Linked DNA regions of Callithrix jacchus. The protein of the gene in region 1 binds, or shares a complex with, the protein of each later gene. Links are inferred from orthologs where the notes say so. Each region holds a gene or a part of one and is shown on either strand. Other genes may lie near its edges.

The links. Proteins that work in one complex are often made in the same cells at the same time.
Region 2: CDK2AP2 (region 1) and MTA3 share a complex: the UniProt entries of both Homo sapiens proteins name them as parts of the nucleosome remodeling and deacetylase (NuRD) repressor complex. The link is inferred for Callithrix jacchus from reciprocal best matches to the Homo sapiens genes CDK2AP2 and MTA3.

What each region holds. Positions count from the first base shown.
Region 1 is NC_133511.1:124,584,497-124,589,015, reverse strand, and holds CDK2AP2 (cyclin-dependent kinase 2-associated protein 2), read left to right. Parts: upstream 1-1,987; 5' UTR 1,988-2,067; coding exon 2,068-2,149; exon of another isoform or gene 2,150-2,291; intron 2,292-2,460; coding exon 2,461-2,558; intron 2,559-2,652; coding exon 2,653-2,785; intron 2,786-3,148; coding exon 3,149-3,216; 3' UTR 3,217-3,673; downstream 3,674-4,519. UniProt on the Homo sapiens protein: Acts as a component of the histone deacetylase NuRD complex which participates in the remodeling of chromatin.
Region 2 is NC_133515.1:72,273,151-72,277,812, forward strand, and holds the start of MTA3 (metastasis-associated protein MTA3), read right to left. Parts: upstream 3,012-4,662; 5' UTR 2,982-3,011; coding exon 2,954-2,981; intron 1,313-2,953; coding exon 1,245-1,312; intron 1-1,244. UniProt on the Homo sapiens protein: Acts as a component of the histone deacetylase NuRD complex which participates in the remodeling of chromatin.

The DNA of each region.
Region 1 (4,519 bases):
GTTGCTTCCCTGTCTGTCTCAGAGAATAAGACCTCCTTGAGTACAGAGGCCATGGCCAGTTCATTTCTGTAACCTCAGCGCTCGGCACAAGATGTGGGACGGAGGAGGGAGTCAAGGGAGTTAGAACATGGTTTTTTTTGTTTTGTTTGTGAGACGGAGTCTCGCGCTGATGCCCAGGCTGGAGTGCAATGGTGCGATCTTGGCTCACTGCAACGTCTGCCTCACTGCAACCTCTGCCTCCTGGTTCAAATGATTCTCCTGCCTCAGCCTTCCAAGTAGCTGGGATTACAGGTGCCAGCGACCACACCCAGCTAACTTTTGTATTTCACCATGTTGGCCAGACTGGTCTCAAGCTCCTGACCTCTTTTTTTTTTTTTTTTTTTTTTGAGACGGAGTCTTGCTCTTTCGCCAGGCGCCAGGCTGGAGTCCAGTGGCGCGATTTCGGCTCACTGCAACCTCCACCTCCTGGGTTCAAGCAATTCTCCTGCCTTAGCCTCCCGAGTAGCTGGGACTACAGGCGCACGCCACCACACCCAGCTAATTTTTTGTATTTTTAGTAGACAAGGGGTTTCACCAATGTTGGCCAGGATGGTCTCAATGTCTTGACCTCGTGATCCACCCTCCTCGGCCCACAATTCTGGGATTACAGGCGTGAGCCACCTCTCCGGGCCGAACTCCTGACCTCAATCAGCCCACCTCCACCTCCCGAAGTGCTGGGATTACAGGCGTGAGCCAACACGGGCCAGAACATGTTTGTTGGATGGATGAATGAATGAACGACTGTCCTGGAGATGAAGATCTACAAAGCTGGGACCATGAAGGTACGTAAGGCCAGAGAAGTTTGAGCTTGGGGAAGGAGCCTGGGAGAAAGGGTTAGTGAGTGGATGAGGGTTTGAAGTCTTAAGTTTGTGGGGAGTGAGATTTGAGGGGAGGCGTCTGAGTGGTGGAATGGAAAGGTATGGGGGCCCTGGAGTGGGACAGGAAGGCGGGGAATGAAACAACAAGCACTTTATGACATTCACTTAATCCACACAACAACCCAATGAGATCGTCATTTTCCCCATTTTACGGATGGGAAAACTGAGGCATACTGAGGCGAGACACTTGCCTGGGGGAAATCGCCAGTGGGGGTGGTGCTGAGATTCAAACCCAGGCGGTTGGCTCCAGACCGTGCTCTTGATCAGTTTGGTACCGGCCCGCCACACAGTAATCTCGCAGGTTTGCCCTACGGCCATTGACACCAGCTGAGGCGGCGGCGCGGGGCCTTGGGGGTGCGGGCAAAGGGGTCTTTGAGGTCGCCCTTGGACCTGACGACCAGCCAAGCCACAGGAAGAGCTGCGCGTGGCGGCACTGAAGTAGGGCCTGTTGCCATGGGAACAAACGCAGGCCTCGGGCGGACGCATGCGCAGATCGGGGAGAGGGTGTTGAACCGGTGAAAGGTGACGTAAAAGCGCACGGGGTGGGGCGCGGGGCTCGGGACGTCAAAGCTCTGCGTCCTTCGGCCCCAGGAGCGGATAGGGACGCACAGCGGCGGCGACAGAAGCGACGGCAGCGGCGACAGCAACCCCTGCTGGGCCGAAACTGGGCAGAGCAGAGCCGACGTCTGAAGCAGCGCGAGTGAAGCGCGAGGGTAGCGCCCGCGTCCGGGAAGACCCCTCGGCGCGAACCGGCGGCCCAGCCCGGGGTCCGGGGCCTCGAGGCCCCGCCTCTAAGGCCTGGGGACTAATCGGATTGAGAGCGCGCCGGCCCGGGCGGCGAACTCGCCAATTGCAGAGGGCGGCAGCCACCGCCCAATCCGGAGCAGACAGGTGCGAGGTCCGGAAGGCGGAGACCAATCGGTGGCGGTTGCGACCTGCTGGGGCAGGTCTCGTCCAATAAGGAGGCTCGAGTGACATCTTCAGGCGCCAATCGGGAGTGAGGGAGCATTCGAGCCCGCTCGCCCTTCCGGCCAGACCTCTATTTACCAGAGGCGTGCAGCCCGCTTGCCAATCAGAGCGCGGCTGAGCGGCCCGGCGGCCAACCCCCGAGGAGCGGCTGGCTGGCGTCCGCCGCGCCCAGGAGTTGGGGATGTCCTACAAACCCATCGCCCCCGCCCCCAGCAGCACCCCTGGCTCCAGCACCCCTGGGCCGGGCACCCCGGTCCCTACAGGTGAGGATCCAGCTCCACCCCTGCTCGCCTGCCGGGCGGTCGAGGTCTCGAAGAGAAGACGGCCTGAGTTCTGCAATACTGGGCCTGCCGCCTACCCCTCGCTGAGCCTCAGTTTGCTGGCCTGTGAAATGGGCGTGGTCATGTAAGGGCTTGTAGGTGGAGCTCAGGGGGAGGGATTTGTCCCTGAAGTTAATCAGCATGGAATGAAGCATCCTTTGGAGGGAATCGGGCGAACGCGGTCCTGGGCTTGGAAAAGCAGGGAGGCGCGTCCCTGCCCAGCGCTGACCTCTTACTCGCGCCTGTTGCTGCAGGAAGCGTGCCGTCGCCGTCGGGCTCAGTGCCAGGAGCCGCCGCCCCTTTCAGACCGCTGTTTAACGACTTTGGACCGCCTTCCATGGGCTATGTGCAGGTGAGTGGGGCCAAAGCCTTGCTTATGGATGGGGACTGGAGTTTCCTTCCCTGCCAGGTGCCTGAGCTCACTGCCCTGTTCTCTTTTGACATAGGCGATGAAGCCACCCGGCGCCCAGGGCTCCCAGAGCACCTACACGGACCTGCTGTCCGTCATAGAGGAGATGGGCAAAGAGATCCGGCCCACCTATGCTGGCAGCAAGAGTGCCATGGAGCGCCTGAAGAGAGGTAAGTGAGGCCAGGCCGCCCTGCCCTGCCCTGCTCCCCTGCTCAGGAAGCCGACACTGCACTATCCTTCATTAGGGAAGTAAGGACATCTGGAGGCCACCCGAGCGACGCCTAGACTAGGGCCAGTATTACTATGCAGAGAGGTATTTTGAATTGAAATTGAGTCCGTTTCCAGGGAAGAGCCTGGGAATTTGTATTTCAACAGGGCCACCTTGAGGATTAGCCAAACCTCTAATCTCATCTCGCCATTATTAGATTTGAATTTCTCTTGCCGAAAGGAAAGGGAGTGGGGAGGCAGTGGTGGTCCTCTGGAGGGCGGAGGTGGGGCTATGGAGGGTTGCTGAGACCCCACCCTACCCCCAGGTATCATCCATGCCCGGGCCCTAGTCAGAGAGTGCCTGGCAGAGACAGAGCGGAACGCCCGCACGTAACAGGAAGCCTCTCGGCCTCAGCGTCTGGACCTTTCCCGGCCACTGCAGAGCACCCGCTTCTCCCTGGCCATCATCCCGAGTTGCACTAACCATCCTGGGCTTCCTGTCCTGTGTCCTTTGGTGGGTGCCCTCCAGGAACCAAAGGGTGGCTCTCACTCCAGGTGGCAGCACTAAGAACGACCCCCCCCACAACAAGAGTTTAGCAGCGAGGTCCCTGTGAGTCGCGCCCATGACCTGCCGACAGTGTTGCCCACCGGAACTTTCTGTGGCCCCCACTGCTCAGCCCCTCCCAGCACTTCTCCCACTTCGTCCCGAGCCTCCCTCTCTCCCAGCAGGGGCTCAGGCCTGGCACCTGCTTGCCTTGTGTCCTGGGCCATAGTGACTCTTTTCTCTGTGTGTCTTTTGCTAAATATGCCCTTTTTATATTAATAAAAGATGATTTGGAGTTGTGCTGTCAGCTCTGAGCCTTTCTGGGTCTGGTTCTTCAGTTAAGCCTGGGTGGGCCAGGCAGAGAAGGAAGAGGAGACTAGGGGTGGGGAGGGTGTGACTGAATGGGGTTTGACTTGCCTCTGTGGGCCACAGGCCTCCTGTGGGACCCAGGCCCTCTCCTGCCCCAGCCCTGGTGCTGAGAGCCCTGGGCCTTCCTGTGGTGCCACCAGGGGGCAGAGCAGGGCCTGGCTGCTTCCACAGCCCTTTGCGCTGTGGGCAGCCTGGGCCTGGAGGGCACTTCCTCTGGATTGGCAGTGATGCCTGGCAGCGTGGAAATGCCAGTTCACGTAAGCCACTCCCTTACACTCCCTAATGCCCTGACAACACCCCAGCCTCTGAATCAGCCCTGAAGGTCTCTGACACCGCAGAGAGAATGCACACTGCTGCTTCCAGCACTGGCCTCAGAGTCAAGCAGAGAGGCTGGCGGGTGCTGCCGTCACCGCCGCAGCACCTGTAGCAGGCTGGGCGTGATCCCAGGAGCCCAGCCTTGGGGTTCCTTAGGGTGCCTCGCCCTTTGCCCAGACTCCGGGTGGCTGGCTCGCCAGACTTGTGGACCCGGAAGGCAGAGGTGGGGGAGGCTTTGTGGCACCACGCAGTGGCTAGCCCAGCCACTCAGAGTGACAGCCCGCTTCTGCCTGGGTGTGTAGCTGGGTGTAGAGGCCCGGGGGCCCTGGAGGTCAGCCCTAGGTGGAGGCACATCAGAGCCACGAGCGTCTGCCTAGACTTTGGTGGGGAGGCATTTCCTCTACCCTGGGTCCCAGGTCCAAGGACTGCAGAGGGTGAGGAGAGGAGAGTGGGCCTGGGACACGCCCCC
Region 2 (4,662 bases), on another chromosome or scaffold:
CTGGGACTATGGGCCTGCCTATTTTTTTGGTGGAGATGGGGTTTCCCTATGTTACCCAGGCTAGTCTCAAACTCTGGACTCAAAGGATCCTCTCACCTTAGCCTCCTGAAGTTAGAATTACAGGCGTGAGCCAATGATACAATTTGGTCTAGTTCAGAATTTTACAAATTCCCTTCAGTATTATATTCCCCAGCTTCCTCCTTCTAAACCTAGAAGAGGAAAATATTAATTCACTAAAAAGGGAGACATACATATTATGACTCTTTTTTGTTTTTTAGACAGAGTCTTGCTCTGTCGGCTACTACAACCTCCGCCTACCAGGTTCAAGTGATTCTCCTGCCTCAGCCTCCCAAGTAGCTGGGACTACAGGTGCCCACCACCACCTCTGGCTAATTTTTGTAATTTTAAGAGAAATGGGGTTTCACCTATCGGCCAGGCTGGTCTCGAACTCCTGCCCTCAAGTGATCTGACTGCCTCAGCCTCCTAGAGTGTTGAGATTACAGGCATGAGCCACTGCACCTGGCCCATGATGACTCTAAATATAAAAAGGGTCTGAGTTACAGAAGTAAACTGCTCTTTCAGAGGCTCTAAGCAATTTGAAGAAATCTGCAGACTTTTAAATATTCAGTAACAGAAAAAGCAAAAGAATATTAAGAATTCGGAATCCTGCGTAACTCTCTAAAATCTCAACTTTTTTTTTTTTTGGAGTCTTGCTCTCTTGCCCAGGCTGGAGTGCAATGGCATGATCTCGGCTCACTGCAACCTCCACCTCCCAGGATCAAGCGATTCTCCTGCCTCAGCCTCCTGACTACCTAAGATTACAGGTGCATGCCACCATGCTTGACTAATTTTTTGTACTTTTTTAGTAGAAAAGGGGTTTCACCATGTTGGCCAGACTGGTCTTGAACTTCTGACCTCAAGTGATCCACCTGCCTCAGCCTCCCAAAGTGCTAGGATTATAGGCATGAGCCACTGCACCTGGCCTAAAACCTCAACTTTCAAAGTGTCTAGGACTGAAAGTAGAGCCACCTCTTATAATCTTTACCCAGTTTATTTTTTATTTAATTTTTAAAAAATAGAGATGGGGTCTCACTATGTTGCACAGGCTGGTCTCCCCCTGCCCACCGTCCCAAAGTACTGGAATTGCAGGCAAGAATCTCTTCGCCAGGCCACCCTCTACCCAATCATCCGTCAAGGAAAAACAAATATTTTTAATATTAAAATTAAGAACACTAAATGTATACCTTGTTGAGTTCTTCTATCCTTCTTATTAGGTATGGGTTGCTGGAGGAATTCTCAAAGTACACATAATCTGTAATTAAAGGAAATACAGAATTTAATCTTTTCAACAGAAAGCTCAGATTTGTCAGTCCATGACTTTTAATGTTAGGCAATTCACATTTGAAATTAAGCTCATAATTCATTCACTGGTAAAAGCAAATAGCCTTAATATATTCTCTTATCTGCCTACGATTCACAGACCTTTATTTTCTTGGCATTTTCATTTCAATTAACGTTTTACCAGGTTCTCCTAGACTTCTGTCCCAATATGTCATTTCTTTAATAATAAACAAAAAAGGCACCTCTTATCACTGTACAGTTAGGGCACACTAAACATGTGTCCTCTGTACTGTAACTACTTCCACATCTTTTTCCTCCAATCCAATTTGCCCTGGAGGCTGCTTCTCACATAAAACTATTGACCTAAGACATTCAGAGCACGGAGAAAGGCTTCACAGTCCAACCTACATTTCAATCACTACTTAAAAAAAAAAATCAGGTGAGCAGAGCAGGTAAGAGGAAGAACGCTGACAAACTTTTCCACAGCTCTGTCTGGAAAGATGAGAAAACAGGGGGGCCAAGGGGATCACTTCTAAGAGGGAAAGTGCTCTGGGGGTGATACCATAATGTTTTTTAGCCTTTTACCATATTTAATCCAAATCTATTTAATGTCTTGTGGTTAAGAAATTGCCGCAGGCTTTCAACTAAAAGGATAAAATTTTTCAAGTGTGGCTTTTCGTCTCATCTAATAGGCTCGCTGGAAACTTCCCACTGTGTGTTTATCTGAAAGGCAGGGCTGTGCTGTTATTGTCTATCTTAGCGGCTCTTTCGCGGCTCTCTTCTGCAAAGTGGCCTCATTTAGCCAGGCGATTCCTACTACTATCCATCAGAAGCTCGGCTAATGAGCAGAGAAGGAAGAGCCGGTCTCTCATACAAACACGCCACTTATCTGAATTATTATTTTACCAGGAAAGAGGGAGGAGGGCGTCTTGAGTAGGGAGAAAGTTTGTTTGACCTTATTTCTCTCTTCCGCAGAAGACTGGGAAGGAGGCAGGCAGCAGAGCAAACGTCCAGGCAGAGCTCAACTCCCCACCTCCGGCAGAGGTTCCCAGGCCCTACGAAGCCCCATTTGTGGGGGGCTGGACCAGAAACGAAACGAGGGAGGCGAGGAAGGGGAGGTGCAGGGCCCCGTCCCGCTAACAGGCCCGTCCAGCTGCGCCCCTGGCTGGGCCCCCACCCCCACCCCAGGCTCCCACTGAGGGGAGAAGGAACAGGGGAGGGGATGTCCCCCCATCCTCTCCAGCGCCTAGAAGCCACGCAAGGAGACGGCCACCTTCTCAGGGGGCTCGACGGGCCCTACTCCCATGAAGGTTTCGTGGAGGGGGGGGCGTCTGGTCATTCGTACCCCCAAGTAGAGGCCTGGCCCTAAAGACGAGGTGGGGTGAGAGGGTGAAGGTGGCCCCAGCTCCTCGCAGGCCACCGTGGGGGGAGGGGAGGGAAAAGGTGGGGGTGGGGAGCCCCGGCCCCTCTGCGGGCCCCGGCGCCCCCGTCCGCTGCGCCCTCAGCCCCCGCACCCTTGGCTCCCGGCACTTCGCTTGCGCTCGCCCCGGCCCCCGCCCCCCGCTCCCGGAGCCCGCTCCCACACGGGCCGGGTCGGGCCGAGCCTGCCTACCTCCGACCCGGTACATGTTGGCCGCCATGTCCGCCCGCCCGCCCGCGGAGCCCGAGCCGAGCCCCGCCCGCTGCCGCCGCCGCCTCCTCAGCCTCAGCCTCGACCGCCGCTGCCGCCGCCGCCGCCGCCGCTGCCTAGCCACCGGGGGGAAGGGAGGGAAGGGAGGGGGCGGGGGAGGGGGAAGTGAAGGGGAGGGGACGCCGAGGGGTGGGGGCTGGTGCCCGCCCCCAGCGCCAGGCTAGCGAAGCCGAGTGGGCCGGGCCGGGCCGGGGGAGGCCCGAGCGCTGTGGGGCCAGCGGGAATTGGGGGGAGGGAATGGGAAGCGGGAGGGAGAGTGGGGTGCCTTGTTGGAAGTGGAGGGCCCTGGGGCCAGGGTCCTGGCCGAGGCGGAAGTCTGGACTGAAATGCGGACCAGGGGCTGTTAGAGAATTGGAGTCGGGGCTGGCGCTCAGCCTCTCCGCAGGGCCTCTTGCCCCACCCAGGGTATCCCATCACCTGCCCACCCCGAGACAGGTCCTCCTTCCCTGCTTCCGTCCCTGAGGAACCCCCGTGTGTCTGACCTAGTAGGCAAGCGCCAGTCTCAGTGCAATCTCTTGGATGCAAATAAGTGTAAGCAGCAGGGTTCCTTCCTTCTGGTGAGGTCCACGGGGGCGGCCTGGTACCTGCAGGTTCTGGGGCCAGGAAGACCCCACGTAGTTCCCGCCTCGCCAGAGACCCAGCCGGGGACAGAGCTAGAAAAACTCCCTTCTAGGCCACCCTAAATGCGCCATCGTTCATCCCAACTGAGCAGAACCAACTCTCCAACACCCAGATACAGGCCCTGGCTCTAGACAGGCCCTATTTATGCAGTGCCTGTTCTTCTGGGATAAGGGACCTTTAGGATTGGGGGCTTCCTTTGTCCATGGGGGAACAGGACCCTACAGTTCACGATCACCACCACCCCCAAGAAGAGGAGATGCTGTTCAATCAGCTTGATATTGATGGACACTTAACTGGTTATGTGTCTAAAGCTTCTAAATGGTTATTGTCGCAGGCCAATTCTCTAAACAACCTCTGTTTTCACGGCCTTCCTACTCTCACAGAAACAACAACAAAAAAAAATGTTGAATCTTAACTGGCTATCCCCCAAACGACCAAAAATAACTTTCTTTAGAGAAGACAGTCCATTCCAAAGTACTCCCAGACATCACTGCATAATAAACATGAAGACGATTTACTGGTGTGGTGGCTTGTTTGCAATGTCTTGTGATACACAGCTGTGTGCTGCCAACTTGAGTTTGAGGTGTGTGCGGGGGTAAGAGGTGCCCCCAGAAAAGAAGTTGTGTTTTGGTTGTTTGGTGGTGACATTTGTGATGGTCCCTTATCACAAAGTATTGATATGAAAAAAGTGTTCTGCGTAGCTGAGGCAAAACATACAAATAAATAACAAAGCACCGTTGAATTATATTGACTCTATGACCTGTTTCCTTGCCCATAAAGTGGGGACACCAATTCCCCTTCATAGGTGTGGAAAGGATCAGTTGTGATATCTGAAAATGGTTTGTAAACCAGGGAACACAGAGCACCATGCAAATAACAGGTGTCTCTTGCTTTTCTTTTTAACCCAAGAAAACCTCAGATTCCCAAGGGTTTTCTGCTGTGTGTCAAAATATGAGCCATGTGTCAATTTCTGACCCAGAGAAGAAAGCAAAAGTGTTCTGTTCCGCAGA